Linked DNA regions of Lytechinus pictus. The protein of the gene in region 3 purifies or fractionates together with the protein of the main gene of each other region. This does not show direct contact. Links are inferred from orthologs where the notes say so. Each region holds a gene or a part of one and is shown on either strand. Other genes may lie near its edges. The genes, in order: perilipin-2-like, squalene monooxygenase-like and E3 ubiquitin-protein ligase MARCHF6-like.

The links.
Region 1: the proteins of E3 ubiquitin-protein ligase MARCHF6-like (region 3) and perilipin-2-like purify together in Homo sapiens (affinity purification with western blotting; 3 studies listed by BioGRID). This does not show direct contact. The link is inferred for Lytechinus pictus from reciprocal best matches to the Homo sapiens genes MARCHF6 and PLIN2.
Region 2: the proteins of E3 ubiquitin-protein ligase MARCHF6-like (region 3) and squalene monooxygenase-like purify together in Homo sapiens (affinity purification with western blotting; 4 studies listed by BioGRID and IntAct, with this or other methods). This does not show direct contact. The link is inferred for Lytechinus pictus from reciprocal best matches to the Homo sapiens genes MARCHF6 and SQLE.

The regions. Positions count from the first base shown.
Region 1 is NC_087249.1:2,797,165-2,807,721, forward strand, and holds the start of perilipin-2-like, read right to left. Parts: upstream 4,218-10,557; 5' UTR 3,705-4,217; intron 1,542-3,704; 5' UTR 1,519-1,541; coding exon 1,275-1,518; intron 688-1,274; coding exon 605-687; intron 1-604. UniProt on the Homo sapiens protein: Structural component of lipid droplets, which is required for the formation and maintenance of lipid storage droplets.
Region 2 is NC_087261.1:1,973,513-1,984,784, forward strand, and holds the start of squalene monooxygenase-like, read left to right. Parts: upstream 1-6,582; 5' UTR 6,583-6,916; intron 6,917-8,814; 5' UTR 8,815-8,822; coding exon 8,823-8,933; intron 8,934-9,331; coding exon 9,332-9,557; intron 9,558-11,272. Other genes in the region: ornithine decarboxylase-like, read left to right, coding at 854-941, 2,325-2,523. UniProt on the Homo sapiens protein: Catalyzes the stereospecific oxidation of squalene to (S)-2,3-epoxysqualene, and is considered to be a rate-limiting enzyme in steroid biosynthesis.
Region 3 is NC_087246.1:38,703,144-38,714,642, forward strand, and holds the start of E3 ubiquitin-protein ligase MARCHF6-like, read right to left. Parts: upstream 4,338-11,499; 5' UTR 4,243-4,337; intron 3,545-4,242; 5' UTR 3,496-3,544; coding exon 3,471-3,495; intron 2,961-3,470; coding exon 2,817-2,960; intron 2,486-2,816; coding exon 2,413-2,485; intron 127-2,412; coding exon 1-126. UniProt on the Homo sapiens protein: Endoplasmic reticulum membrane-associated E3 ubiquitin ligase that plays a critical role in mitigating endoplasmic reticulum stress, the regulation of cholesterol and lipid homeostasis, and ferroptosis.

The DNA.
Region 1 (10,557 bases), on a different chromosome or scaffold from region 3:
TCCTTTGCTCACATGTTCCCAACGTTGTGGAATAGCCTTCCTAAGACATACAAATTTGTATCTCTGTTGAATCATTAAAAATCTGGGCAAAAAGTTTCTATTTTCTTCCTCACTCTCTATGTGCCTTGAGCAGTCTGGTCTGCTGGGAGGATTTTGGCACTCTGAAGTTGCATTATTACTATTTAGATGTTGAATGTATGAAAAATTGAGTTTCCAAATGTAAAAGATTATTTCCTTTGACCAGATTCAAGACTGACCTTGTATCATTTCGATAAATCTATTAGGTGACTTGAGTAGCATGACAGGGCTATAGGCCTATACTTTCAATATAGCAATAAAAACATTTAAAAATCTTGCTTGATTAAGATATTTCTTCAAATCCAGAAAAGATACAAGTAAAAATGAATTGTATGGCAAGAAAAGGAGAAGCGCTTCTCAAACTCACAACGGATACCTATCAAGTTTGATATGCCAGGGCCAAAACTCTCTTCATATCTGAAAAAAGGTTCAACAGTCAAGACACGAACTCTGCAAACCACAAGACAGTATTAAGTAACATGTTAACATTGGAAACAAAACAATGTCTTTCAGTATTGATACATACCTTCTCTGGTGATTCAGTGATGACTGGGACCTTCTCTTCAAGTTTATCCATCTGCTGGTTAGCATATTCATTAACAGCAGAAACTGAAGAAAAAATAAATATATTGAGGGGCATATTAAGTATTGACCTCTGGAATTGACCTATGCCATACTAATCCTACTCAGCAATACAATCAATTGAAGTGAATTATATATCATGTAAAACATAAGTACTAATTCATTGAGGGGGGTAAAGGTGATTACCACAAGAGGAGGAACCCATTCAACAGGGACAAAAAAAAAACGAATTCAAACCGTACTATCAGAGTTGTTGCCTGTAGGCATGTGAAACCCAATGACTCACTTTGATTAGTTCAAAACCACAACAAATTATTTGATTTCCTGTGAATGCCTACACAAGTTGAAGATCACCTAATACGCTGTAAATAACAATTTTTTTCAAGTAGGAGAAAATCAGTTTTATGGGATTAGATATTTTGATTGGGATAAAAAAATTATTAATTTAACTTTTAAGTATCATCTGCAGATAACCAGTAATGCAAAACCACTTCCCCTCGAATGTGCACATGTACATTATATATATGCAAGCATGAAGCTCCTAAGTCCTAACAAAAGGAAAAAATGAAAGATTGAATTATGATTGCAAAATGAGAAAGCAAGCATTATCTTACTTGGTCCTTCAAGTCTATTGACCACTGGCTGGGCAGTGCTAGCAGCCATGGCTACAGTACTTTCAGCCATCTCCAGAGTATACTTGACCAGACTATTCTTGTCCTTACTCCAGTTGTAAGCATTGGTCACTTGGGACAAGGTTGAACTGACCACAGGAAGTGCAGCCATACGATTGATGACATTAACCTGAGTGCCACAGTCTTCACCCTCTCCTGTAGTTTGGTTCTCAAGTTCTGGCTGCATGCTTGCTGGTTGCTGCTGAGCTTCTATATGTAAAGAACAAAATACAGGAAATCTTAACAAATAAATATGAAAGAAAATTTTAGAGAGTGGGATTCAGGGGAGGTGTGTCATTGACTTGAAAGAATGGACAATTGTTTTTCTCTTCACTTCACTGTCAGACATGCAGGTACACCCTAGAGTAGCAAATTTAAATTGCAAGAAATGACGTGGAAATTGTAATAAATTGCTAATTTGCAAAGTCTTTCAAAGTGATAATTGCCTTTTAACCTGTTGGCCAGGATCAGTTATTAGACCTACAGAGCCCAATATGGGTTATCTCTGGCATCAGGCTTCATGGATTAACTTTTTAAAATGCTACAAGTCATCCATTATTTGCAGAAGTTAAGAATTTCTTTGACTTGCAATGACAAGATTATAAGATCATGCAGTGCGTTGGCTAAGTTGGTAGAGCATCCGTCTCACAATCGGGGTTCAAACCCGGCCGGCCGCGTCAGAACAAAAGACGGTAAAAGATGGGAGTTGCTGCAACCCTGTTTGGCGTTCAACAATTCAAGGGATAGAGCTACATGTACATTGATCTAGCGCTGCACAGTGGCTGCTGGGCCCACAATCAATTGGGCAAAAATTATTTTCATTCAGAGTTTTTCTATTTTCAGATTTCGAACAATAAATTATGGATTTTCTTTTTATTTCAGTATCTCCTTAAATGAGGCATCTCCAAAATCTCTACATTATTATTCTCTTTAAATACAAGCTTTGACAAAATTGTTTCATTAATTTTAGCAATAAAAAGTACAAAGATTCAAGAAAACAAAGCTTTGACCTTAAAAGTGAAACTAGTCAGTACAGTTCATGTGGTCTGCTAACTCTGCTTCAACAAAGGTCACATATATGAACAGGGAATATCCTACAGGTACCTCAACTTTTACAATGTCTTTCTTTGTATTTATTTGGGAGTGAAAGCACTACAAATTGCTCAGATCTAATGCAAAGTGCCAGTTTCAATTCAATCCTAACATTCAAGTTGAAAAGTATAAAGTAAAACACATGATACATTGTAGAGCTAGGCTATACTATATAAATTTTGCACTAAAAAAAAAAAGAATACTTTCCTGGTCCTGGAATTATTTCACACAAACATTTAATAGTAGGATGGGGGATCGGGTGTCCGGACACTTTATATTTTTGAAGCCTTCTTTTTTGTCTTTGGATTACACTAAAAATATGAATTCAATACTTGTAATCATCTTCTATTTTGTTCTTAATAATATTTCCTAACATTTTGTACGGTAAAATTTATGAAACTTCGCTTTCAAATTTTTCCAAATGACTTTCTAAAATTGATCGCCCGGACACACAACCTGTCCGGACACACAACAACTGGGTATAGATTCAGGCTTAATCACACATATATCTCTGATCTAATAATAAATCAACTGTAATTGTAAGTCTAATCTATACACTGAGGCTCATGAGAAATGAGACATTAATACAAATCTCCAGCAAACATTTTGTAATCAAAGTATTTTACTATCTGCAAGGTGCCCCAAGCGCAGCGGAGTGATCCTTGCCTGTGCATACGCAAAACCTACCTGCAACGATCACAAACTTTACACCTGCAATACTAAGGCAGATATTCATTAAAACATCTGACTCAAAATGGTGGAAAAATATTGAATTTCAGGCATTTCATGTAACAACTTCAAAATGCTGCATTTCATATCAAAATCCGAAATTGTGGGCAGGTAGATATGGGGGCACCATGTTTTGTTCAGTCTGGAAATGCTGGCTGATGTTTTTTTCCCCCAGAAAATAATCATGTCCCTTCAAATTTTTTTGAGATTTTCAGCACACTTACCATACTTAGCTAGTCATAAGATTGGGCATTATCAAATGAATTGTTTTGCAGAATAAAAAGAAATTAATGCTTAATCTCAAATTAAATTAATAGGTGGGAAGACATGGGACCCGTTTCACAGGCCTACTCTGTAGCCCTAGTCTAGATTGCAAAAAAAAATAATAACTAAACATGCTAAAGAACACAAGAACATACAGTGCTGTTAGTACAGTAACATCTGAACATGTATGTACATGTAGATCGTAGTAACTGTAAAGAAAGCAAAATGCAGCATTAAACTTGAACTTAGTCTACAAAGACAACTGGTTGAGAAAAAAAGACAACTCACACAAGATTGAAATAGAATTGAAGATGGATCCAAAATGAATTGAGAGCTGACGATATCTTGCACAGTACTACTCAGTAGCAGTCAACTCAGTCAGCTATAGCTGTTCAAGCTTGATGTAACAAGGTTGGAATCGTTCTGATGCAACTTCACAAGAAATGGAACCTTAAATACCCTCAGTTAAATTCTATGTCTGGTAAATGTAATCAATAATGAACAAAGATGTTTTTCTAATCCAAACTAGCCACAAGGATGTATGGTAGATATGAAGAGAATTCAGGAAGCAGACAAAATAATCAATGCAATGCCCATCCACAATACACTTTTGTCTCATGTGGTATACGCACAGTGATACGTGCCTGACTGCATGCTGTCCGCATTCACAGAAACTCTGTTGCAATACTTTTGTCCTTGTGGTGACTTTCAGCTTTGGGTCTGAGTCAGAAAACAGCTGATTGATAGCTCACAGAGAGCTATGACCTACTTAGTATAGTGTTTGTAGAAGAAGAACACCTCAATGACACTGTCAAGTGATTCAACAATATGCCCATAACCTGGCCTTGCAGTAGCCCACTGACTGATTACTGCTAAAAAAAAGTTATAATAGTGTGGTTGGAAAAAGAACAAAATCTACTGGTACCCTCTTATCAGAATATTAACTAAATCATCTTCAGAAGAAAACTGACTGTAATCATTTTTTATTTCACTGTGAAATTTTTTCAATTTAAAATTACGGTAAATCCTCATGAATGAATTACAGATTATTTTTCTTAAACAGCCTTCATGACATGTATAAGTTACAACTTTAATATAGCGCCAGATTTTATCATTAGTCCCCAGTTTTCTGCTTTGTAAAATTCAAATTCTACGTTCTTTTTAAGATCAACTTCTCTTCACTACCATGGCACATGTTCAAAACACAGTAAATAATGATATTTTAATTAGAAAAACAAATTATGTATGCACAGAGGTTGATGAATAAATACTTAAAGGTCAAGTTCACCACAATTAATCGTTGTTTCACTTGGCAATGAGGAGAAAAATAGAATATTTCATATAATAAAATGCGAAAGAAATAGTGAGTGGATGACGTCATCAGTCTCCTCATTTGCATACCCACCAGGATGTGCATATAACTGTTTTGTGAAATTAAGCAAAATTTCAAAATGTCATCACTTTTTTATTTTACATCCGATTTTGATGAAATTTTCAATGTTATGCTTGTTGGATTTTTCTCTTTTTCTTCAAATCAACTTTTTTGAGGGGTGGACTTGTCCTTTAACAATGCATAACCATTTGATTGACAGATTTTCCATTGATGAACAGTTATCTTTATTTTGAAATTGCTTTAATATTCATGATTTTCACTGCATTTTTATATCATTTTCAGGAGCTGAAACTTTCTGAAAGTTGAAACATTGTTTGCCGAGAAATTCTGTTTTCTTCCTAATCCCGTCAAATTTTTCTGCTTTCCATACAAAAACAAGTGGAACGCCTCTGGCAGTCTCGCCTGCGTTACGCGATTTGATATACCTGCAGTGCTGACTTTGAAAAAGACTATTGAATAATTATTCATAAAAGAAAACACTCATATGATAATAAAATACTATGTCCATTTACCCAACATGACCTTTGACTATGATCATGTGACCTCAGACATGTGCAAAACAACTCCATTACCCTTATGTCTATGTTTCATGAACTACATATGTGTAGATCCATAAACTTTTTGAGTTATGATGCCAATTCAACAAATACCCCGAACACGGCTAAAGCTCATTGACCCTAAATGACCTTTGATTTTGGTCATGTGACCTGAAACAAGCACAAGATATTCAGGGATACATGGTTACTCTTATGTCCCAAGTTTCCATGAACTAGATTTATAAACTTTTAAAGTTATGACAATTCCACAAATACCCCAAACATTATCAAAGTTCGTAATCGTTGACCCTAAATGACCTTTGACCTTGGTCATGTGACCTGAAAATCGCACAGGATGTTCAGGGATTCACAACTGCTCTTATGTATAAGTTTCATCAACTAGATCCATAAAATTTCAAAGTTATGATGACGATTCCACAACTACCCCCAACATGGTCAAAGTTTGTTGACCCTAAGTGACCTTTGACCTTGGTCATGTGACCTGAAACTCAGGCAGGATGTTTAGTAATACTTGATTACCCTTATGTCCAAGTTTCATGAACTAGGTCAATAAACTTTTGAACTTATGACGACATTTCAAAAACTTAACCTTGGTTAAGATTTCGATATTGATTCCCCCAACATGGTCTAAGTTCATTGACCCTAAATGACCTTTGACCTTGGTCATGTGACCTGAAACTCAAACAAGATGTTAAGTAATACTTGATTACTCTTATGTCCAAGTTTCATGAACTAGGTATGATGATATTTCAAAAACTTAACCATGGTTAAGATTTCAATGTTGACGGCGCCGCCGCCGCCGCCGTCGGAAACGCGGCGCCTATAGTCTCGCTCTGCTATGCAGGCGAGACAAAAACTGGGGACTTTAGAATATTCATACTGCAGTCAACATGATTCCTCATACTTCCAGTCAGACCGCAGGTCCCTATGCTAATGAGCAAAAAGGCCAGATTCATCCAAATCATCTCGTGGCTGAAACCTCCTCCTTGCAAAATCTCATGATTCGTGAGATTCTCTTACTCTAAGAATTTACCTGTTTTAACCTCAAGTCAAATGAAATATCAATGCACCATCAGATTCATATTGGTCATTTATTTTGTATACAATATTTTGATAAAAAGGTGAATTTCTGGCCTGAAAATGCGCCTCAAACCTGAATTTTCTTCCTTTGTTTTCTTTTGAAAATTGTGCAAAACTTATTATTTTGAGCCTCAATGATATCTATACAGAGCTGCCAAGTTGTATTTTGCATTTTCAGTATTCTTATCCCCCAAAATCAGTATTTTGACAAAAAAAATCAGTATTTTTACCGTGTGAGATAAATATTTTGTATTTTTCCCCAAAAAAGTGTATTTCATAATAAAATGCTTGGCGCACTCGCCCATCACGGCGCTCAAGCTGCATGCAAGCTAAAATGCGCACTGCTCTTGCAGATGAAAAAAAAAAAACATTGAAACTTGTGTATATCTCACCCTGGTTTTTACAAAATGATTGGAAAAAAAACAAGTTACCTGAAATTACATTGATCTAATAACCATATTTGTGTACGTTTTATGAAATAGAGACATGTAGGCCCGAATTCTCAAAGGGTGGCTAACTTAGCCCGTGCTAACTTAGCCCACTGGGCTAACTATCCCCCGTGGGCTAATTTAGCCCACCGAGCATTTCTCAAAGCGTGGGCTAGTTAGCACCCCCGGCTAACTTAGCCCATCGGGCTAAATATTTAGCACGGGGTGCTAAATATTTAGCACGGGGGGCTAAATCTACCACGATCGATGACTGAAGTTAGCGCTCTATTTAGCACTGTACTGAGCATGCTCAGTGTAATAAAGCAGTACTGAGCATGCTCAGCGCCGTATTGAGAGTTTAGTCTGCTAGGGACATGAAAACGTCGCCATCGCAGGGGTTATGAAGCAGGACTCAACCAAAAAAAAATAATGTATCAGCAACATGCACTTGAATTTCTTTGCGAGATGGTATTGACAGCGAACATTGTCATTAATTTGTTAATTAACTTGGGCCAACGTAGGTATATATTTACCGCCGACGGCACGCCGCCTGCGAGCGCTGCCCCTGCCTGCACCGTTCCGGGCAACGTATCGCGTAACCCATGGAGCTCCCTGGGCTACGCATCGTGAGGACCAAGACTGCACTGTTCTACACAGTGGTACCTTAAATGCGAAAAAAGCTATAGGGGCCTACTCTAATTTTAACCTTTTGTTAGGTATGTATAGACTATAGGTTAGATCTAACCTTAGTCCAAATCGAGCACATATCGTAGTACTGAGTACGGAAAATGCAACTAAAAAACTTGCCATTTATAGTGCACATTGTGTGAAATACATCATCGATCTGATTCTGTTTACGAAGCCTACCTACCTTGTCAAAGTGGGTGGATCGAGTTTTGATTGAAAATGAAATGCCATGCTGCTATGGCTATCCTAAAAATTGAATCTTGAAAAAAATTGGGGTCTTGTATGTTACGTTTAGATGCATGTGAAAGATTTATGAGTTAGGGGCTGGGGCCGGCCGGCGCAAGCAACATGATCTCGACCCCACTATCGAGTGCCATTTATTTCTTTCTCTTAAAGTTGAATTAAGAAGGGGGTGAGTTTCCATAAGTATAGGTTCTACATACAATATATAGTATATATAAGTTGTTCAAACACATAGCATGTCACAATAATCATCTGCCTTCTCGATATTTTGCTTTGAAAGTCTATGAAATTAGCCACCTGTCAGAGCCCGAGAGACGAGTGTACAGAAAAGTCACTCGGAGTGTGACGTCACCGGGGGGAATTTAGTATAAGAGGTGCCTGAATGTCATACAGAAATGCTATGCAGAGAGAGAAAGATATTTTACAATTTTTTTTCAAAGCAACTCAAATCAAACAAATAGGACTGATATGTACAAATCTTTACTTTCCCTGTATAAAAAACAGTATGAATAACCACCATGAACTCTTCAATCATGATGTAAGATAGCAAACAGTGAGTTATTGAATGATATTTTCACTATTTCTCATTTATTTTATCACGATGTTCAATCAAGTGAGTAGCTGGAAAGTAATTCCGGCGGCTAGCTCAGCGCGCGCTGAACGCATAATACTAATACACACAACACCCAGGCATTGAGTGTACTGTTATGGTCTGGTATGTCGACTTAGTTCATGGCCGTGCAGCGATCCCCTGGCGTTTTTTCTTCTTTTCTTTTGTCTTTGACTCCACTTTTATATCCTCTGGATCATTTCCACCCATAGCTCATTCCACAGAACAATCTTGAACCAAACGTATAGTATTCTTTCTCGGCCTTCTGAGTTGTTTTCTATATTTAATTACGCTAGGGGTCACCGTCACACATACAAACGCAATTCGGAAGTGAGTTGAAGACAGAAAGATATATAGTAATTAGTATACATCTCTATGGTTGAAGACAACAAGAACGGTACGGTAGCTCGACAGCTAGCTGCGCCGGAGCGGGCGGCCGGTCGGCACAAAGCAATTCCGCAACCAACTGTGTTTTTTTGCAAGAGCCGCGTCACACGCGGATAAATATGTCATAATAACACGTCTGCTACGTTATCGACTGGTGAGAAGATCTCGATCAAATTTCATATTATTCACCTTGAAATTATTCCTTTAGGGTCTATGGTATCATTCTGAGGGAATTCACATATTTGGAATAATAGTACGGCCACAAATATTTTAATCATTTCCTCTTTGCAAGTTCTATGGCTCGCAGATACAACTTCAACTGCAGTTATTCCATAGTAGTACACAAAACGGCACTGCCTTGTTTACTAAACCGGGACCGAATACCCCCCGGTGACGTCACACTCAAAGAACACCCGTCTCGGTAGGCATTGCAGGAGCGAACTCAGGGGGAAATGGGTAGGGATAAATCGTTCAAATTCACTATTTTGAAAAAAGAAAATGGGGGGTCGAATCACCTATTAGTGTTTGGGGGGTTGTAAGGTTGCTATTAATGTAAATATCTCAATATTTGGAATCGTCTTCTTAATTCAACTTTAAACTTTCCTATTTGAAGTAATATTTTTAAAATTTTATGTTCTATTAATTGTATTTTTTCCAATAAGTTATATCTTTATCAATGGGGAAGTTGCAGCAGTATTTGTATGAAATTCCATTTTCTATTATTTTTTTTAATTTAATTATCTTTCACCTTCAAAAACAGAATTCTTTTAAATTTGTTTATTTCGTTATTTTTATTCCTTTATTTATAGTCTACCTCTTATAATTTTTTTTTTTTTTCTTTATCATTTTTATTTTCGATTGATTTTATCTATTTTTTTGGGGGGGGGGAGGAACATTTAATTTCTGCACCCCATGATCGATGAAGTCCTGGATGAACCAAAAATTTAAAGGGGGCTTGATATGGCGTATCTGGTAAAATTAATTTTTAAAAAGTTGTGCGCGAGCAAAAACTTCCAACATTTGTGCCAGAGCTAACAATTTTGGAAGGAGCCAAGATATTAATTGGTAAGCTCCTCCAAGAGCACTCACTGGTCACCGTAATTGCATTATCCCTAACTTATTTCTGTTATTGCTACTCCAGTTGGCGGGGGGGGGGGGGGGGGTAACCAAGTTAGACACCATGCTTGCACATTCGTAAGAGCATGTATTCATTTTTTCAAAGGCAATACAGTATTTTAGCCAGAAAAATGTTGACTTATGAACCCTGGATGAGTAAAAACGGTATTCCACCGATCATAAAAATATATTTGAAATTGGGGGAAATTATGACAAAATGTCCAAGGTACTCCTAGATTGAAAGATAATTGCTAATTATGGTCAATTTTGAAATTATCAGCCTGGTGTCCAGCTGCGGAACCGGGGGGGGGGGGGCCTTGACCGATTGTGATTAACTGTTCCGCAGCCCCTGCCTTGTAATAACTTTGCCCCCCTCCATCCCCTCCCGAAGACCAATTGCTTAATACAGGATATTTGGTCAAAATGCCCCTGCTTTTAAAGAAAAAAAATAAAATCATTTCTGAGGGGATTACAATTCCTACAATAAAAATTAACATTTAAACAAAGTCTTATGATATGCTAACCCCACATGTCATTCTCTCGGTGATATAGCTACCTTCCCTCCTTTCACTTCTCATTTGCTTTCATCACATGCACATTTATCATGTATCTTTACATACCAAAAAACTTTTCTCCCAAT
Region 2 (11,272 bases), on a different chromosome or scaffold from region 3:
AAATAAGCGAAACTTTAAAATGTCATAACTTTCTTATTCTACATCCGATTTTGATGAAATTTTCAGCATTCTGCTAGTTGATTTTTTTTCTATTTATTCGAATCGACATTTTTCTGGGGTGGACTTGACCTTTAAAAAAACCCCACTGTTTGTAAAAGCCCCTCTCACAATTGGTGGTGCGACTGGTTACAACCGTTGTGCTTGTGTGCAACATATATTGTGACCAAATGATCATAAATGATTGCACAAGCCATTGTGAAAGCCCCTTTAGGTAGAATTACAAAAAAAACTGTCATGTGGGAGGCCAAAACTGAGTTCCCAATCATTTTTGTCCCTTGACCATTGTGCTAACTGTTACATATGGAGATGATGATCAAGATTTGCAAGGTTCAATTACACTTTAATACAATTCTATTCCAGCATTTGGCTAAAGTTATTTATACTGTGTTACAGTGACTGATAAAAACATCTCAACTTGCTGTTTTGCATTTCATATTTCAGTTGTTCATTAATTAAGTCATGCCAAACTTCCTAAACTGCCTTTATGACCCCACCCTCCCTAGTCTGCATGCACAGACCCTGATTGAAACTTAAGATCAACAAGTGTGTCTTCAAACAAGACTAGCACACAATATAAAACTAGCACACATAAAAAAACAAAAAACATCAAATTTTTTCCCCAAAACCTTGTACAAAAACGATCAAATTACCATCTAATTGTGATTTCTTGCATGGTCAGCCCCCCTACTTTCAAAACTGTTCCGCCGCCCCTGAATTATAAGATAAAATCCTAATGAAACATCTTTTGGTCCGGTATAGTTCATATTTATTATCCACCTGTTCTTTCTTACAGATATGGGAGCCTACACTATGTGTGCCAGCTCTGAATTCAACGGCTTCAAACGACCCATCTTATATTCCATCATATCCAAGGAATATATGTAAGTAATGCGTAACCCATTAATGTAAAAACTTTGTAATGAATTACACCCTGTTGGATGTATGTTTCATGTTGTTCATTAATGTGGAGCGTTGTGGCCCAGTGGATTAGTCTCCGGACTTTGAAACAGAGGGTCTTGGGTTCAAATCCCAGCCATGGCGTAGTTTCCTTCAGCAAGAAATTTATCCACATTGTGCTGCACTCAACCCAGGTGAGGTGAATGGGTACCTGGCAGGAATTTATTCCTTGAAATGCCACAGCGCTGTAAAAGGCTGCGGGGCTTAAGCCAGGGTAATAATATCCAAGTCCTTTGGAAGGGTATAGAGACGTTATTTATGTGTTATGCGCTATACAAGAACTGACTTTTATTATTATTTCATGTGTGCCAGCAATGCAAGATTCCTCCATCACAAAATCATGTTATGGTATCGCACACTTACGAGACTAGGGTCAATCTCTCTTGCGTAGGTCATTCACAATGAATTGAGATGATTTGGAAGATACTAAGGAAATTCACCAGAAACCAAGAGTAAAATATATATGGTCTCACAAATATAGCAATTTTGTTTTTGATGCAGATTATTTGAAAACGATATCTAAGCAGTTTCAATTCCGTATTATCTTTCTGTGCCAGCTTTTTACTCTTGAGTTTCAAAGTCTCTCGTTATGTTTTGGTAAATCCCCCAAAATGTATAGCTGGCACTATTTAACTTGTACTTATATAAATGTTTACATCCTTCATATGTTAGGGTGTAGATGATTTGAAATTTGGCATGATTTTTTATTAAATTTCATTTTGATAGAGATCCTGACCAAAATAAAAATGAGATATCAGTCCTTCACGTATATAATTTTGTGGAGCTCAATAAATCACTCTCATTTTTTTGAGGAGCTCAATTGAGCTCCTCAGAATCTCTCTCCTTGAGGAGCTCAAATCAATTTGATGTATGCTAAATTGTAGATTTTTATTAAAATTTCAAATGCAATAGCTGTGTTGCTATTAATTAATCTGTGGTGAAACTAGGCCTGGGTCATTACGTTTACAAAATATCGCGCTCCTGCTTTCAAAAAATTACAAAAAATTGCTAAAATTTCACATTTTACATCTTTAAATCCATGAAATGGTCATCTGTTTTCCATGATTCCTTGAAATTATTTTGATTTAGTCAAAAACTATCAGGAAAATGAAGAATATTCAGCTCTTTCTTGACTCTGATTGATGATGTTACAAATGGTAAATATTGTAGTCCCACATGTAGACTTCCATGGTGTTGCAACTTTAACTGAAAACGATCTTTGATCGTTTGATCATTATTGATCGTTTTACACTTGGTCAACACCATGAAAATTTTTTAATGAATTTATGTTTCTCCCATATCCCCAGGTCCATCGTAGAGCGCATCACTGACCAGCCTAAGCCACGTAACAGCTGCAAGGCTTCCTTCACCCAGCTAGCTACATCACCACCAAGAGGCTTCTTTGATGAGAACAGCTGTTTGGTTGATCTCCCAGACCCACCCTACGATGACATCTACGGTTTGGTGGATGGGGGCGCCTGCAGAGAGATCGCTGCAGAGATTTGACAGTTTCTCAACAACAAAAACATATCCAGATACCCAAGATCCTAAGTCTCACTCTGATATTCTTGATCGGTAGCAGTTGGTTTCCTTAACAAAAGAATGTCATTATATTATTCTGTAATGTCATGCTTTATACTTTCACGTTTTCCTGTGATATATATCCATGGTAGTTTAAGTTGTGATTAGCTCCTTTAAGAATGCTTGATTGATGTGCGTTATTTATCCCTCCATATCAAGTTCCTTTGTCTTTTATTAGGCTATATGATCTTAAAGAGAGTAATTGCCAAGATGTGTTACTTGCTTCATTACATGTAACACATGTTGAAAGCCACTTTCTTTCTGAACACAGAGTAACTTAGCAGTTCTTTCCTTTATAATTATATGTATGTATATACTAACTGGAACTATATTTGTTGTGGTGTACTGTGGAAAAATAAGAAGCAGCTTACCTTAAAATAAATTTGTTGTGTCTTGGTTATATTACATCAGTAGGACTGGTATTTAAATTTATTTATATTTTGATTTTCGTTTTTGTGGATTTTTGATAAATGGAAAATATATATCATATACAATGGATGCTATTAACATTGAAGTGCCAGAAAAAGAAATTGCCTCCTATTCGTGTTTATCTTTTTGATTCACTGGAAATTTTCAAATGCCAAAATAAAGGCAAGGCACATTTTTTCATGTATGAAAAACTCAAACGAAACAGAATTTCAGGTCTTATATTTGACAATCTGCAAATTAACATTAATTGCTGATTGTGAGTCATTGTGATGGAGGATTCTTTGAAGTTTTCTATTAAAAATAGCAAAACATATTTGATATGAGCATTTATATTATATGATTTTTAAGTCTCAAAAGGCCAATTTCAGGTTATTGATGTATTTTGGTATTGTGGATATACAACATTTAAAATTCAAGAGAAAAATTATGTGTCTGATGTTTCCACCAAGGAGTAAGAATTGATGATTTCATTTACAGTCCTACCTGTAATGATTTTACTAGTAAGAGATATTTGCTTAAGTTTTCATCTATGCTGCTATATTTCATGCTAAGATTCTTCATTGGTGTACAAAATTAAGCAATTATTAATCATATGAATTCTAAATTAACAGAATTATTGGCATTAAAATTGATGTGTTTGATATCTAATGTATGCTGTTCTTTTATTTAGGGCATGTTGTATAATTTTCTTTCTAAAAGTAATGTAGTATTAATTAAGTGAGATCAGTATTATTCATTGAGTACACTGTCCTGTTCTAAATATAAAATGGTGAGAACTGGAAGCATGCATTACTAGACAAGTTTTATGAATGAAAGGTAATATTTGATTTGTCAACTATATATTATTGTTATCAATGTATTTGTGAGAACATGATCTTAAAAGTTAAATGCTATTATCCTAACCTTTCTCTAGGTTATTTTGGTATGTTTGTTCTTTGTAAGAAAAAGAAAAGTAGTAATGAAAGTAGAGCATAAATTGTTAGTACAGCCCATTTCTTCTCATATTGTTGAAGCATTTAGGAACAATTCAATATGAATCAAAGTTTAATTCTATCTACTGGAAAGCCTTTCAAACTTGACATATCTTGGCTCCATATATTTCATTTATTTGCAACATGGTTATACTCACGTATTGCATGATTGGTACATATAGTGGTTAAATATATATACCCTTGTATTACAGGAATGTTTAATTTTGTGGCTATCTGCTCTATGATAATTTTAAACTAACAAACTTGTTTTCATTTAACAATTTTTGGTTTACAGTTTACTCCATTGTAGTAGGAATAAATGATTGGCTTATCACGAATGAGATTATTTCTCTGTGTTTGTGTGTGTGTGTGTAATATCAGTCAGTGAGAACTAAAGTGTGAGGAAAATTAAATCATGGCTCCACCAGTAGGGAGGCTGTCAAGACTGGACTAAGTCCTGCGTCACATGGCTATGACACAACAATTGCTCCGGGCTTTATTTTGTCTAAGATGTAGGGGCAGGGTTAGGGTTGCAATAGGGTTTTATGTTAGGTTTAGGGTGGGTATAGTGTTGAATCCAGATTGGTGTTTCGTAAAGCTGTCCGTAAGTTAAGAGCGACTTTACAAATGACTGGTGATCCTATCTTAGGAGCTAAATCCACACCAATGAGATTTTGGTGTGCGTGCATATTTCACATCAAGAAAAGATCAAGTCATTCCCAAAGTCACTTCATTACTTTACAAACAGCTCAATGAAACACATCCCAATCCCAACAGGAAATTAGTCATTGGATTAGTGTGTGGAATTTATAGCAGACCAATTGTCGCTGGGGCAAATGTCACGTTAGTGACGTAACACACATGGCTTCTGGGTATTCAGGCCGCCCTTTACTCCCATCATTGTACAAACATGGTACGATAAAGCCTGGCAACATGCCTTTGTACACCCAGAGATACATTGAGATCATTGCATTGATGATCATTGTGTATGATCAATGGTAGTAATCGGCGCCACGGTCAAATACTGATCTTTATGTTACCATGCCGAGTGTTAGAAAAGAGATGGAGACATCAAAGTGAAGATGAGAAAGAGAGGAGAAAAGGAAAGTGATAGAGAAACGGGACATTTTATACATGTAATCAAGATGTTGAAAATTCATTTAATGAGAGCAAAATTTTGTGAAGGCGAAGGGTGTAAGTTTTGAGTGAAATTGATTTTAGAGATATATATAAGGGAATAGAGGGGATCAAAGGACAGTAAGAGCATTAATTTTTAAAAAAACTTTTCATTCTCTTCCTCTGCCTTCTTCACCCCAATCTGCCTATGCACTCCAGGGGCCTGTAACACAAAACTTAGCAATGATCTTAGAACATTTTTCTACAATTGATTCCATTGACTATAATGTACAATCAATCGTGAAAATCAAGCGTTCGATCAATCGCTAACCTTTGTGTTACGGGACCCTGGACTGATGATTCTGTTCATGCTCCTATACCCGATTGAAGAGGTACTCCAGGCCGAAGATAATTGTATATGAATTAATAGAGTGAAATTCACCGAACAAAAACACTGAAAACTCTATTTCTTCAAAAGCAAATATTTTTAAAGAAAGTTATTGAATTTTGAAGTTCAGCATTATTGCGTCATATATGCTCACTGTCATGAATATGCAACATGTGGGCTGGTGAGGTCATGTTTCTACTTCCATATTTTAATACATGAAATCATAATTATTTTATATTTTCATACATGATTATATGATATGTCTATGTGACAAAATAAGTTGCCACTGTCAACATCTTACACATTGAATAAGTTGTCAGTTCACTTTTTGTATTTCTTCAAACATGCTCGCTATAAAGTGTAATTAGATGTAATTAAAACATAAATATGGGGGCGAGGACATCCATCAGCTTGCTCATTGCACATTCATGAAGATGTGCATATACTGTCTAAGCAAAATAATAATAATATAATGCCAAACTTTAAAATGCCATAACTTTGTTCCTTAATTATCCAAATGAAATTTTGTTATTTTTTTTTTTTTTTTTGGGGGGGGGAGGGGGCGGGTCGATCTCATTTATTGATTTCAGTCAGCCTGGAGTACCAGTGCATAGCGACCCCTATGCATGCATGAGTAGCACGCTTATTTGGCATTTATTTCTGAACAGAATTCAAGGAGGAAGCCCGCGCTCGGAGGAAGAAGAGGGGGGGGGGGGGGCAGCTATATGCGTGCAACTCTATTCATCACTCCTTCAATTAGTTTGACGCCACTTTTTGGTGATCATCTCCGGCCCCGGCTGTCCCATGCCCCTCTGTATTAATTTAACGTGGCTCGTACCCGCGGGCCCATCCTCCCTCCTAAAGTACGTGACTCATATTTTCTCAATTGTATACATATAATAGCTATTCTAATAATAATATCTATAATAGCTCTTCTTTATCCTTTTTCATTTGCTTCACCCTTCCACTATTTTCTCCTCTATTTAGCCTGCCTATAACTAAAACAATTGGGGCGTGGTCGCCACGTGCATGCCCCCCCCCCCGGCCCCCCATTTGTACCGCCCCTATGGCTATATATGTGCCTATTTATGGATAGATGAGAGCCTGTCCAAGGCCCGGGTCCAAGGAAGTCAAAGCAATGAACAATCAACATGGCAAAAACGAAATTACTATTTGATTTATCACTAAAGTTCGGTTGATGAATTTTCTAAATAGTCTGAGAATTTCAATCGTAGCTAGATTTTCAGTTGCATAATCCTTGCTCACGCGATTTTCCCTGCGATGTTGTCGATGTCAAAGGTCACGTTATCTCATCAGCTCAGCTGTATTGCACAAAGAACGGCAGCTAGTGGAGTAGCAGCCGATAATTAGCATTTTGCCGATGAAGTTTGCACCTATAATCACTCGGATATAGGTAATCATTTGATTTTATATATTCTCATTGATCTTAGGTTTAATAGTCAATTACAGAACGAAATTTTAATTGATATCTGTGCACTATCCTTCGGTTTGCCGCTGCCGGGATGCGGGGATCGGGAAAGTTCTCCGCTGATTACAAGTCCGGTTCCGCTGGACAAGACGCAGGGCGGAGCTGCGCTACGCGACAGCGTTAACGTGTAAAGACCTGTGGCTGTGTATCAATGACAATGTTGACCTGGGGTGGTATTCTGAAAATGGTCTTAAATTTTCTTGTAACTTTTCTTGTAAGTCAGGAAGATACACGTGGCTGATCTCACAGTCATATTTTCTTTGAAAAGATTCATCATCTCGATTACCAATTTTTAATTGCTGAAAAGTTTACCAATGCGTCTCTGCCTCTGGGCCTGGGGACTGTCATGTCTCATGACTGTAAATGTCTTCGGAATGTCTCCTGCAGTAAAACACGATGTTCTTGCGGGATGCAGCAAGAAATTATTATTTTTGATCGAGAAATATCGCAAGCAACATTAAGTTACAATAGCCACCTACCTCTTGTAAATTTTCTTGTATTTTTGCAAAGAAGTTAACAGAACGCAAAGATAAGAGAATTTTCAGAATACCTTTTATCTCGATATGTTATCTTGCGCACATACATGTATGTAGGCCTAGATATTTTAGGCGCCGTTTTTAACTTACGCATCATTATAGCTCTGACATCATACGCGCTCAGTGAAAGTTACAAGAAAAGATACAAGAATTTTCAGAATACGGATTTTATTCTTCAAACTTACAAGAATATTTCTCTTAAGAGACAATTTTCAGAATACGGCCCCTGTCTTTATCAGAAAAATCAGGCAAATTGTTGTTCAAAGTGAGTTGTCGTTGGGTATTCTCTCAGTGACTGAGAGAATACGGTAATGTCTGTCACAACAATTTCAATTTTAAGTTAACTAACTTAGAATTATGCATTTTGGGCCTTTTGTTTTGCACTTTCATTTTTTGGGGACAATTGGATTTGTTCCAAGGCGAAGATAGATGGGAAAGGAGGAACTTGATAGAAAGGGGAGTTTGTCCTCTGCAGTATCATCACTCTAGAATTTACAACTTGTGAACTGGGCAGTGAAGGAGGACATTTTCAAGTGACCGTCTGTTAGATCACTATCTAGAACCTTTACTTAGAACCCTTGATTCTGTTATCGTAGTCGAGTGGTTTAAGTCATCAGATCAAAGCTCTCTGTGTATGCCATGCTGCTCTTAATGGCACAGGTCACAGGTTCGAATCCAACTTTTGATTGCCAATAGTAATATATTTTTAGAATTATAAATTGATGGCAATTTTAAAGGTCTGAAAATATGCATTATCGCACTAAACAATTCATATTCATGCATGATTGATGACGGATCAGATTTTCAACTTTAGAGGTGAAAAGCAAAGTCTATACTTTTCTGTTATATAAGATTCCTTTTTTTATTCATTTAAAAAAATTCATCTTCTGAGGACAATATGGATGAAAGATGATCACCAATGGCTCTGTAGTTTTCCGAATCAAAATGTGAAGTCAGTTTGTTTGAGGTGTGGATGATTTAGAGAAAAAATAGAATTGAATTGAATGGTTTATTTATTTCAAATGTTCACTGAAAATAAGCAGCCAAAGGCTGAATTACATTCAGTTTACAAATATACAGACATATAAAAAATATACAACTTGAAATAAACAAGGCAAATATCAAAATGAAATTGAGTACAAAGACATGCCAATCCTCACACTTGCTCTTGCTCATCCCATAATTCTCATTGTCACATTTCTAACATTTGAACACCTCCATCCCACAAACAGTTATCTGATTTTTGTATTTTGTCTAATTTGTCTCTTTTCTTACTGTTTTTTCCAGGTGTTGCAATGATTGAAATTCTAGTAAGTCTCATCCCAGAAGGGCTGGGGTATCCCCTGGCTGTGTCTGCTATACTTGGCTTGTTGCTTTACATTCTACTGGGCAAGCCATCGTCTATGGTGAGTACAAACTATTTTGACCTGGTATTCAGGAAAGTTTTACATACTGCTACTTCTTAAATATCTTCATCATGTTATCAAGTGAAACAAAATTAAGTAATGGGTAGAAATAAAAGTGTAGAGCTGCAGGTTTTATTTTGTTAGAATTTGCAATTAGTCCCAACCTTGTTTTAAAGATTATAAACTCCCTGTTTCTGTATGGCAAATTTTGCATTAAAAGTTAATTATAAATCTTTCATAATCAAAACTTAGCTGAAGTCTAACAGTGTTTCTAACTGATGCTTGATAATACCAAAGTAATCCCTTTCTCAGTTTAAGAGAACTCTATAAAGACGCACCTTTTTAATTCCTGATATTTGTTATTATTATTAAAGTGATTTGATGTTCAAACATTACAGAAGAAGCAGAAGAAATCGACCAATCATATGACAGCACCATCATCACATGACACTGATGTTCTTATTATTGGCTCTGGGATCCTAGGGTCAGCCATGGCTACTGTGCTGGCCAGAGATGGCCGTAAGGTGACCGTTATAGAACGAGACATGAAGGAGCCGGACAGGATAGTTGGAGAGTTGCTTCAACCTGGTGGCTACAGAGCTTTAACTGATCTAGGATTAAAAGGTATGGTTTAATCTGTTCTCTGTGACCATCTATCTCCAACTTTAAACAAGGAAAGGGAGAATTTACAAATTAAGTTCATGCCAACTGGTGTGTTGGCTCAGTTAGTAGAGCGTCCATCTCTCAACCGGGAGGTCAGGAGTCCCAGCCCCGGCCTTAGATCAAAAGACATTAAAAGATGATGCGAGTTACTGCTACCCTGTTTGGTATTCAACAATTCAGGAATAGAGCTACATCGATCTGGGGCTGCACAGTGGCTGCCAGGCCCACGATCAATTGGACAAAAATAATTTTCGGAGTATTTTTATTTCAAATTTCATTTCAAACAATAAAACAATGGATTTTCATTTTCAATACTACGATTTGAACCTGCAACATTGTCGCTGCATCAGAATGACAAGTTGCTTATTGAAAGGGTTCTCATTACTTTATATTCTTACTAATTCATTTTATTTCAGAATTTAATACCTCTCAGTTGCGAATATTTACGCTTTCTGTCATGAGGTTTAGCCTTGACTGAATAAACCCAATTATTATATTATTCTCAAAGACTTTGTTATCAGTAGGCTACCAAAGAAACAATTACTGGCAGCAGGACATACTCCCTTATATATTTTTAAAGCATATTTTCGATGTGTATTTCTTCAGTAATTTATGAAAGGTTGAATACTGTTCAATTGATGTTCAAAGTCCAGCTACTTGATAGTAATCTGAAAGCAAAGGACACAGACCTTTAAAGTGCCACTTAGAAAGATAGTATGAGTTGAATCCCAGGTTTGGTGGTGTATCACACACGTTACTATGCCTTTGATTATTGGATTATATCAATCAAGCCCTCCACTTTATTTCTTGTAATCTTGGTATTGTGAATTGACAGTATGAAATCAAAGTTACATAAGACATCAACAAGGGAACAACTAGAAAGGAAATAATAATAATAATAAATAATAATAGCTTGATTTATAAAGCGCTTTTTGCCTGAGGATACAAAGCGCTGCTATTATTAACCCAGCTTTAGCTCGAGCTACCATCACCGGCACTCAGTGCATTCAAGGAATTAATCCTGCCGGGTACCCATTCACCTCACCTGGGTCGAGTGCAGCACATTGTGGATAAATATATTGCGGAAGGAAAACACGCCATGGCTAGGATTCGAACCCACGACCCTCTGAAAGGCGAGAGTCAGAACCACTAGACCACAGCGCGCCCACATGAATGTAGAGAGAAGTGCAGGGTGAAACAATATTTCTTTTTTTAATGTATGAAGTGAAATGGTAATATTTTTGATAATTTCAAAGCCACATCCAATCATAAAATAGATTCATAAACTTTCTAATCAATGATGCCTTTGTACATGATGAAATATCCTAAAAATATTCTATAGCATGACAGCAAGAAGGCTTTATTGTTTGGGCAGGGTAAATAACAATGTGATATCAATGTTCTTGTCAGCTTATCTATTTTAAATATTTAGAATATTGTTTACTCAAGCACTTGTTCATAATGGATAAGATACATGTAGTTCATACATGTGGCCAAAAATCGTATGACAATTGTTTGTGCTAATGAGACTAAAATGTCACTTATTTTTTTCATTCCATATTAACCTACATCACTCCATCTTTCCTTTCACTTCATAGTTTGTAAAAGTCTATTAAACCATTTGTTTGTTTCCATCAGAAACATAATCAAACGTGTGCTATAGAATTAACACACCA
Region 3 (11,499 bases):
TCCTCCAGCCATTCCGGCCCTCCTCCATGGGCCACCTGCTCTCTTAGTAGTACCAAACTGATCAGGGCACATAGTGTACAACCAACCACAAAGCAACCTTGCAGGATGTCTGTAGCCATCTTCTCCCTGCAGAAACAATGCAAGAATAGGTCAATTCTAAAACACGATTTGACTTTCTAAAGACGCCTTCTTTGTTCACAAAATCATGTTATTACTAACATGAATCATATACAGCATGGATTTCATTATCCCAATCAAAATTTGATGGGGGCTTAGGGGCGATTTGGCCCCAGAAATGCTCAAATAGTCATGGGGCCCCGTTTCATAAAGGACTTGCAACTGTTGTAATTTTGCCATAATGGCAACTACCATGGTAACGGGTCAGCAGCCAATCAGAATCAAGGTTTCCATGGTAGTTGCCATAATGGCAAAATTGCAAGAGTTGCCACTTAGTACTTTATGAAACGGGCCCCAGGAACATAAAAAATCCCCATTCACTGCTTACCCAATCTGGGGGGTGCTTCACAAAGATTTAAGTATGACTTAGAGTCGCACTTAAATACCGAGTTGCGTAAAGTATGAAAGGCTTGACCGCATTGGTCAGATCGTGTCATGAGGATGCGCACTAATGCGTATCTATCAATAAGATCACGCGTTGCATATCATGTACGCGTCGGCATTTAAGTGCGACTTAAGTCATACTTAAATCTTTGTGGAACACCCCCCAGGTGGATGTTTCATAAAGCTGTTCGTAAGTTAAGAGCGACTGTAAGAACGACCGGTGATCCTTTCTTATGAGCTACTAATCACCAATGAACAATTGATGGTGAATATTATTTACCACAAGAAAGGACCACCAGTCGTTCTTAAAGTCACTCTTAACATACAAACAGCTTTATGAAACGGCCCCCAGGTGTGTGTATAATCAGCGATATAATCAATTTACACGCCCTGTGTTATGTGGGCAAACCTCGGGGCGTCTTTGAGCGTGTGCAAGGAATTACGTAATTGGGTTCGCTGGTATCCAAAACTCCTTGTGTTTATGTATTACAACCCCATTTATATACAATTTCTCAAAAAATAGGGCTTTGGCACAGCAGAAATTTGGCAAGCATCTCTGTACATATCAAATGGATATGCACAACAAACCACATGAATATTCATTTGGGAGTACAGATATGTTGAGATCCTGGAAATCGTATGGAGGTAGTTTTTTGGAGAAAACAAATGAAAACTACTTTGATTATTGGATATGATTTTTTTCAGAACAAATTGATATTATGATTCAATCAAGGCCCCGAAAATTTGAGAGAATTGTTCACAAACGGCAAATATATAAGCAGATGAATTGTCCATGAAATAGATATTCAAGATGTTTTGGGTATTATCCCGAGTTAATTACACCGCTCCTCTGGGCCTGCAATGTTGCAGATTTAGCCATGAGATTGTGAAAGGTAGCCCCCGAAAATAAAATACTAGTTTTTTGCCTTATCCTTATATAGCCAGGGGCAGGAGGGGGGGGGGCTTATATAGCCCCTTCAACATTTTTCATAATAAATCTAATATATAGAATATTTCAATTTGAAGTTTGGACAATAACGAAGGTATTTATTGAACCATAATACGTATCAAAATAACAATTAATACACATGATCAAAGAGGAATCAAACCTGGTTTAAAACTACAAGTATAATACAAAAGGAAAAAGTGAGTGACATCAGTTCCCCCTTTGCATACTGACCAGGATGTACACAATGATTTTGAAATCAAGCAAATTTTTAAAATATCATAACTTTCTTATTTCATATCGAAGTTTGATGAACTTGTCAGTGTTATGCTTGTTTGATTTTCCTTTATTTATTCAAATAAGATTGTTAGGGTGGACTTTTTCTTTAAGTAATAACTGTGGGATTCTTGAAAATTCACATTGGTAACCAATTTTTGGGGCCATGTTTATTCAAATTGACAATCAGCTTTATAACATCAAATAAATGATACAAAGGTTTAAGTTTGTGATGATAGTGGTGACCCAGGCAAATCTGCAATGTAATGAGAATGTCTCCTGATATTTTTTGCATCACTGTAAATAACCTTGAGTGCACTATTCACATATGGATTATGTTACATGCAATACAAACGCAAGGCTTCTATGGAATCTTCCTGGTCGAATACAACAGGCCTTTACATTCTTACACAAAAAATCTTAATGTAATTTACTTCTATCAGAGGGAACTATGGGTCAGCCGTAGATAAGATATATGTCATGTTTGTACTATTCATATTGTTGTTTTTATGCTGAGAAAAATAAACTGAATTGAACTGATTTTCTTGTAATGACTTTGATATGTAACTTGATAGCACATAATGTTAGCAGCAAGAGGTACTCATTGATGCACTGGATTGAATACTTACAAAGAGAAGATATCAAATGGCAAGGACAACACGGGAGCGAGGGATGTATTGAAGAGGCAGCCATATATACGACCTAAAGGCAAATGAAAGAAAGGCTGATAAAGGTAGATAAGACTTATACAAGTAGGGAAATGGTATGCTAATAGGTAATCTGAAGCTAGAAATATAAATCATCGCTGAATAATGGGATACTCACATGTCTATTGAGAAATAACTGAATAATGAATACCAGTATACAGATGAATGAATAAAAAATGAATAATCATTATAATTGCACATTATAAAAATAAAATCTTGTCTACATAATTAAATATTCAGATAATTAAAAACATCAAATTACATACAATGATTTAACAGATTTTATTGAAACTTTGCTTAATATTAAGGAAGATAACTTGACATACTTGCTGTAACAGGAACAATGCCAAGCCAAGCAAAGATGACCATGGTATAGTGGATCCAACAGAGTACAGCTGTACCAAAGTTCCTTACAAGACCCCATACAATGTCACGGAGGGGCAAGCGAGGGGGCATGTCAGGAGAGTATACTTCAAAGAAAAACAAGACATATATATGAATTTTTAAATTTTAATCAAGTCACATCAGTTAAAATGCACCAAATCCAGAAGGCACAATACAAAATTTGGAAAAAAATAGTTTAACAGATTTTCATATAATAACATAATAATTGTGGAGATATAATATATCATTAGCTTGCTTATTGCACATATTCATGATAACATGCAGATAATGGTTTCACCAAAACATTTAAAAAAAATTACTTTATTAAGTTCAAGAATTTCTAAAAGTTATATCTTGATGAAAATTTCAGTGCTTGCTCTTTAAATTTTAAGTTAAATCAATTAACTAAAACTCTCATTTTCAGCCTGAAATACTCCAAAATTTAAGACCAGAGTTAATATTCTGGCTCTGTATCACATTTTCATATATGAGTGTACCTTAACATTTACATACTTTGATAATTGAAATTATCTTTCATTATTTATTAAATAAACAATAAGTTCAAACTAAAACAATAACACTGTACATGGACTTACTTGGGGCAAAAGTGAACTTGTGCATGCATAGCTCACAATATTCCTTCTTGCTGTGTTTTAGCCATTGCACCAGACTAAATGGGGGAAAATAAGAATATTTGAGAAAGGGAGGAGAAAAGATACAGTAAAAAGAGAATGGGAATCACAGAAAGGATAGAGAGGAGAAGGGGAGGGAGGGAGTCACACAAATTTATTTATTGACCGAAGGAGTAGGTAATCGATCTATCAAACATTATTCTGATAGTGGTAATTATTTCTACTATTACTAGCTTTTAGTTATTTTCAGAATACTTCCATCTGTCATTGGTATTCTATTTTATCTTCAATCAAATAATGGGAAATTCATTAAATATCAAAAGCAGAACATTCAGAAATTGCAAAGATTTAATATACTATGCAGTTAAGTAAGTTAACTAACCTGAGCTTGACAAAAAATCTACAAAAAATACAATACACTGTACAGCAATAAATTAGCTTGGATCTGCAGTAGCCCAGGGCTCTGGAATCAATGTAGGATATCAATGCATAGATATATATCGTGTATATCAATGCATAGATATTGGATTTAAATATATCTTTGCATTCCCTATCTGATTGTTTCTATTATATTTTTTCTTAATTCAAACTCATCTTAATAAAACAGATCTATGTATATACAAGACTTTTATAACATATACCAATTTCCATTTATTCAAAAGACAATCATTGAAAATAATAGAGGACGGTCATGAACCTCATCAAAAACTCATGCCTATATTGATGTAATACCTACCAATCTTGATGAATGTAGCGAATACTACCAGTGCAAATACATGGATGAAATAGAGGTCGCTCATGGCCACCTTCTGACCTGCATACTCTACATACATCTGAAAAGAAAATAAGTTCATATTTTCATAAAATGGTCTTGACTCCTGTATGAGATTCATCTGATTGTGGCTTTCAGATTTCTTCACAACTGAGAAAATTATCTCACAACGCAGTCCGAAGAAGCAACCAGTTGGAAGCATAAAGCCCTCTATGGCACAAATTTTTTTCTTGATTGTGAAAAAAATTATAATGTTAAAAATGTACCAAAATGTAACTTTGCAACTTAAGTGAAATCAATCATGATCAGTGTTTTTGCTGCATAGAAATAACAATAATGATAAAACAGGTTGGAATTATGTTAATTGTTCATTCACCAATCATGTGAAAGCACCAGTAATCAACATTCACATATCGCTTTTTGCCATTTGATTGTTCGCCAGGGTAAGTACAATTGAATGATTAAAACAATCAAGATTCCTGCGATTGAATTTAATCAATATGGAATACCCCCAACATGGCCAAAGTTTGACCCTAAGTGACCTTTGAGCTTGGTCATGTGACCTGAAACTCAGGCAGGATCTTCAGGGATATACCATTACCCAAGTTTCATGCACTAGCTCCATATACTTTCTAAGTTATGACAACATTTCAAAACCTTAACCTTGGTTAAGATTTCAATATTGATTCCCCTAACATGGTCTAAGTTCATTGACCCTAAATGATCTTTGGTCATGTGACCTGAAACTCAGGAAGGATGTTCAGTAATACATGATTACCCTTATGTCCAAGTTTCATGAACTACATGTAGATCCATATACTTTCTAAGTTATGATGACATTTCAAACCCTAAAAGGACTGGGGGGCCATGATGCCCCCCCCCTCAACGCTTCGCACGATATTTCTGAAATGAAAAAAGATAACGCCGCAAAATTTTATGACTTTTTTTTTTTGAAGTCTCGCACAACTTTTGAGACCAAATTCGCGACATACGGGTATAGCATCTCGACGCCACGCGACTTTTTACGTGACAATGTCATGCCGAAAATGGCTAATTTTTATACTTTGTGTACAAAGTCTATACGGGAGATGAAATTCATAAAAGGTGATTATTTTTCATTCTAATTGGTCTGCTTAAATATTTAGGGTTTAATTTAGTTGTTAAATGGTCTGTAATAATTTCCATTGAAAAAAAACAATGAAAAGCAAAAGATGAAAAAACAAAGAAATACATAAGGAAAAAATTCACTTTTGAAATTTTTCTTCGTGGAAACCTTTAAATTTGATTAAAAGATGAGTCTGAAAAAAAAAAAAAAATTTGAAATGAAATTGAGTGTTAACTATGCAAATGTTTTTCACAAATAAATTTGCAAATTTCATTTATAACAAATTATAAAAAATAATCGTTTTCAGAATTTTTTTTTGTACTGGCTTGTAGTTTATGTGGAAAAGAATGTGCGAGCCAAATTTTGGCGCGATCGCGCGAACAGCGGCCGAGATCAGAAGGGGAGGGGGCCATTATGGCCCCCCCCCAGTCCTCAAAACATCTCATATACATTGTAGCCCTGTCAATTTCGGGTTAAGATTTCAATGTTGACGCCGCCGCCGTCGGAAAAGCGGTGCGTATAGTCTCGCTCTGCTAAGCAGGTGAGACAAAAGCGGTTTAATCTGGTCAACTGCTAAAAAAAAAAATTAATAATCAGTTCCGTTTTGGTCCTGAAAGGTTGACGCGTAGTGATTTCACAACACTAAAATATACAGTCTCATTTTCGTGTTGGAAATGTGCTTGAAGTCACTTAGCGTCAATCTTTCAGGACTAAGAATGGACTGATAATTTATCTTTTTAAAATAATCAATTGACCAGATTAAACCACTTTTAAGAACATATGGACTTCGAAAACATTTCATATTCATTGAATTATTAATTTTACCAGTATAATAGCAGTTGACTGGAGGTTGTTCCTCTCGTGTTTCAACATTCCCAATCAGTACTCTTCCCGATCAAGGTGGCTGCGTTTGCTATGACATTGTGATGTATCATAATCATATCTATGTGAAATTTTGATTCAATCCTCATTATCCCATTTTCAATATTTTTTTTCTTTGGCAATTCTATTCAATTTGAAAATAAAATAAGAAAGGACTTCTAGTTTTGATTAAAAAAAAAAAAAAAAAAAGGAAATCAAACAACAATTTTCATAACCATTATATGCCAGACCGTCGTTATGAAAAATGTTCTGTTGGCTCAGGATTGGCGGTCATTTAAAAAATAATTTTGTAATTTATTTAGTCATACTTTGCTAGACCCCAAAGCTTGGACAAAAAGTGCCGAACCACGCCGAACCGAACCCGAACATGCCGCCTAACTTGCAGCACTACTATAGTTTCCAAGTATAGCGCCTATTCACATGCACCTCAAAACAATGACTGATGCCTTTTCTCCATAGACCCTGTAGTTAAGCATCAGTCGAAGTTCAACCATTACGAGCCCAATGGCTGTCATCGGTGTATTGACTGAAAGGATACCATGGAGCCAGACGAAGTCTCAGCAGAGCATAACCCTGACATAAATAGACCTAATCGGTCTATGCAGATGTACCTCAGGTGATGGTTCATGTAGGCTCCACTACACTTCAATACCGCTACACTATGCTACACCTACCCGAACCATCAGGGCACATCCAACACCGGTGAAATATGCGGCGAGTCATGTGCTGACTAGATGGGGAAGCTATTGATAAATCTGACTTTAGTCAGAACAGTGATTTTGAGCCCAAAACAGACACTAAAGTTTATATTTCTGTCTGTAGTCTAGGTCTACGAGAAGCTTAACAACTTCAGCCGGCCCGGTCCGGGTAATAGCAAGGGGAAGATACTGTTGGTTGATACGTGCAAATTATTAAGGGTACGGGTCATGGCGGCCCCGAAGAATTTAGGGTTCAAAGGGTTAAGACTACATTCAGAAGAATCCATAAGTATGAATATGCAAATAGCGAAATGATCCCAATCTATAGGAACACAATATTCATATATGTCTTGAGCCACGATCTCCACGCATGCGCAATTTGCGTTTGCGATGTTTTGGAATCGGCAGTGTCTAATGGTGAGGAAGTAGCAACTGGCTTTTAAATCACAGATTTTGAGACTGTAGGGACAGTGATTTTCCGCGATCGCGGAAAGCGGACGGAATTCACGGAAATGGCCTTTTGAAACGGAAAGTGACATTTCAAACGGAAAATCACGGAAAACATATTTTTCCTCAGAATACACAGAACAGCAACATATATTACTCCAAAATCTCAACAAAATACGAATATTAAATGGCCACAAAACCTCACAAAACACGATCTCACTTCACTACGATCATGACAATCCACACATCGTGACTGCTCTTCACTCCATCACACTCAATCGTACCCCTCGCCCCGGTCCTTCCCGGCCGCGCCGGCAGGGTACGGTCGATCGGCCGTATCGAAAACATTCACATGCAGGTCGTGTGTTGCTGCCCATGTTTGAAGATGTAACAGCACGATCTTGAAATCCAAAATGGCGGATAGAACGAAATTGTTGACTGCTCAAAACGATGTCCAAAAAACCCCAAAATTATCGAAAAAATTTCATTCAACCGTAAAATAATGCTAAAAATGTGAAAGGTGAGGATGTATTAATGTTAAATGTGTTTGTCAAAATATTTTGTGTACCCGCATAGATCCGATTAGAGCAGATTCTACTGCGTTGTTGGTTCAGTGGCAGATACAAATTTTGACCAGCGCGAGTGTTGTGTTATTGCTACTGAATGGGTAAACCGAATCGTTAATTTTTTATGTACACAAAATCTATGGGGAAACAGAATTTCCGTTTTCTGACATGCTGAAACAGAATTTAAGATTTTCTGAAACGGAAAAGGCAATTTTTTTAAACGGAAAATCACTGTCCCTAAGACTGATACTATAGAAACAAGTGAAACAGGTTGAAAATGTATTAAGATGAGTTGTAGTCGATCACATGTAAGGTCATGTTTTTGCATGACTTGGTTTTGTTCAGCAACATAAAGTGACACACCTTGTCACTGACTGGGAGTGTCAATCTGTTGAATGTGCCCTGGTGGTTCGGGTAGGTGTAGCATAGTGTAGCGGTAGTGACCAAACAGGACTGAGCCTGAGGTAATGCAGGGGCCTGTTGCATGAAAGGGTGTTTGGTATAACCGCTCTACGTAAGAACGTGATATCGCTCAACTGTTTCACGAAGCCAATTTGGTCCTTGGAAAGACATTTCCAGACATGTCCTATGTAGGCATGATCTTCTTTGCACACCGCCCGCCACCGTCGGCATATAGAGAAAATGTAAAGTAAGATACAGCAAGCCACCCTAACATATCCCCTTTTAAATTTTTTTTTCCATTCAATTGCACGCTGATGCAGTTTATCTGGGATGGTGCCAAGTTATTTTTTGTTTGGGGGTTGGCATCACTTTTCAGGTCATCTAATTGCCTGGCAAGACGACCCAAAACTGATGTCGATTTAACTTCTCCGGGGTAATCTAGGTCCAAACAATTTTTTTTGGTATGTTTCCCATTATTTCTCTCTCATTTTTCTTCCACCCCTTTTCCAATTTTTTAACCAAACTTGAAATATTGAAATGGACCGGCATGCTTTATCATTAGATAAAGGTTATCAAAATGCATTTAAAAATTAAAGAAAACATGGGTTTAGAAGTTCTGCATTGGTTTTGTTCACTCTAGATCTAGATCTATTCAAACCCTATTGTTACCTCAACAAAATAACATTTAGACGAGATCTAGATCTAAAGCATAATTTGCAAAATTATCATTGGAAATAAGCATTCAATAAAATTCAGAATATTGAAATAACTTGAAATTGCTTAATTTATTCTTTTCATATTCTGACAAGGGTCTCTTTCGTTGAAATATCAATGAAAGTGTCCTTAACTTAAGAGGGCATGTGTTTTAATATCATAAGGAAAATAATGAACATTTCCATTTTATCCAGTTGTTATGTGATGAAATGACCTATCTCACATATTTAATAATATATCAATGCATAATCAATACTTCTACAGGAAGTATAACAGGAAACCATATGTTTACCAATTCTAACTTTCATAAGAATGTATTACTCATTCTTCTTCCAGCTAAACTTCTGACGCACACACATTTTATGCGTTTCTTATTCACTACATTTCATGTTCTCCTTAAAAGGTCAACTCCCCCAATTCAGAGTAAAGTTATGACGTACAGATTGTTTTGGTCAAGCGTCCAAGGTTGACCAACACCTGTTTGTGTTAAATTTGTGTTAAATATTGTAAAGATTCATAACCAAAAATGAAATATCACAAAACTCACTAATACGAAAATCCCGCCGTGTTTTCCGAACACCTCTTGATTTCCCTGCCCGATATAGAAGGGGTCCTAAAGCTACGTACTCAATTTATCATGCAAAGAAAAAGTATTTCCTGTGCCTAAACTTCTAAATAATGTTCATAATCTTATAGGAAAATATGAAATCAAAGTGAATATAACTCCAAAATTCCAAACAGTTGCTGGTTTTCTCTGTATTTAGTGATTTATTGCAGCCTCTGTAGAAAAAACTGAATAGGAATGGTTCGTCACACTGCAGTCACGAGCTCCACACACAGAGTGCGCATTTTGCAATTGAAATTGCATGCGCATTGGAGTGGTGCGTAGCTTTAGGACCCCCTACCATACTAGTATTAAGTTCGGATAAAACAGGGATGTGAAGTTGCGCGACAGCCAAAGAAAGTCACTGTTTTCCCCCCTTTTAAGTTTATTTTCCCCCGTTTTGGTGCGTTTCAGGCCAAAACGAAATAATAATCTTTATTTTGCCTTGGTCCAGTTCTTTTTATATATTTTTATGAAATAAAGATAGGGTGTCTGAAGCCACACTGAAAAGTGTCAGCATAAAACAGGCTGATTTAGGGGAAAATATGGCACATTTTTTCGGGAAGTTCAGGCTGCTAGAAAAATGTGATCTGAATTGATTATTAACTTGTGTTTGGCATGTATGGAAAGAGAAAATTCAGGGGCTTCTTTTGACAGTCTGGACAAGTTTATATGATCATTTTAAATAAGGATTTAGAGATAAATTGCAAACCCTTATTTGTGTGTGTGTTGAGATTTTCCCATGCGTTTTCTATGGGAAAATGAAATGTCTGTTTTGCACAATTTTTTCACTTTGTCGCAATTTTTCATTGTGATCTGGTTTCCAAATCTTTATAAAATCATACCATCAGAAAGAGCATAAAAAATCCTATTGGACTCTTATTCTTAATGGACAAGTTTTTGGCATTAATGATAAATTTATAACAGCTCTCAGCTCTCGGAAGCTAAAAATTTGGAATTGTGTGTGTCCATTTCTTAACTAGGTATACCCAGTTGTTGTGTGTCCGGACGATCAATTTTAGAAAGTCATTTGGAAAAATTTACAAGGGAAGTTTTATCAATTTTTAGTACAAAATGTCAGGAAATATTATAGAGAACAAAATAGAAGATGATTACAACTATTGAATTCGTATTTTTAGTGTAATCCAAAGACAAAAAAGTAGGCTTCAAAAATATAAAGTGTCCGGACACCCGACCCCCCATCCTACTGGTACACAGTCTATGGCAGAGAAATGCTGAAAATTGACCTACTTTCATTCTTCTTTTTTGCAGCCAATAATTGGATTTTTGGCATAATCGTGATATAGTCCCCAAATCCAAAAGTGGGGGCTATTAGAATCACACCTACCAGAACACATGAAAATCACTTCCTTTCTCCAGAACACAGTCCCCAACTCTCGGACAGCTCTGTAGCAAAATGATAACACACACAAATGAAACACACACTGTATATAAACACTTGGGTTCTCTCCCTATTATATACTCGTGATACAGTCCCCACTCAACGGGGAATCAAGCTTGATTTTCACGGCGGTGGGGACAGTTTCAACAGTATAGCTATACTCGTGATCCAGTCCCCACGCTATGGGATATACAGTTCGTTTGGCACGCAGTGGGGATAGCTCCAACAGTATATCATACTCGTGATACCGTCCCCTCACAACATAAAATCGTGCTCGTTCAACAAGGGGATGGGGACAGTTTCCCGATGCAATGTGACAAGGATAAAATATTTTAGGGTATGGCTGCGGAAGTTGGGGGCCCCGTGGGGGGGGGGGGGGACTTCATCAGCCCAAAATATGA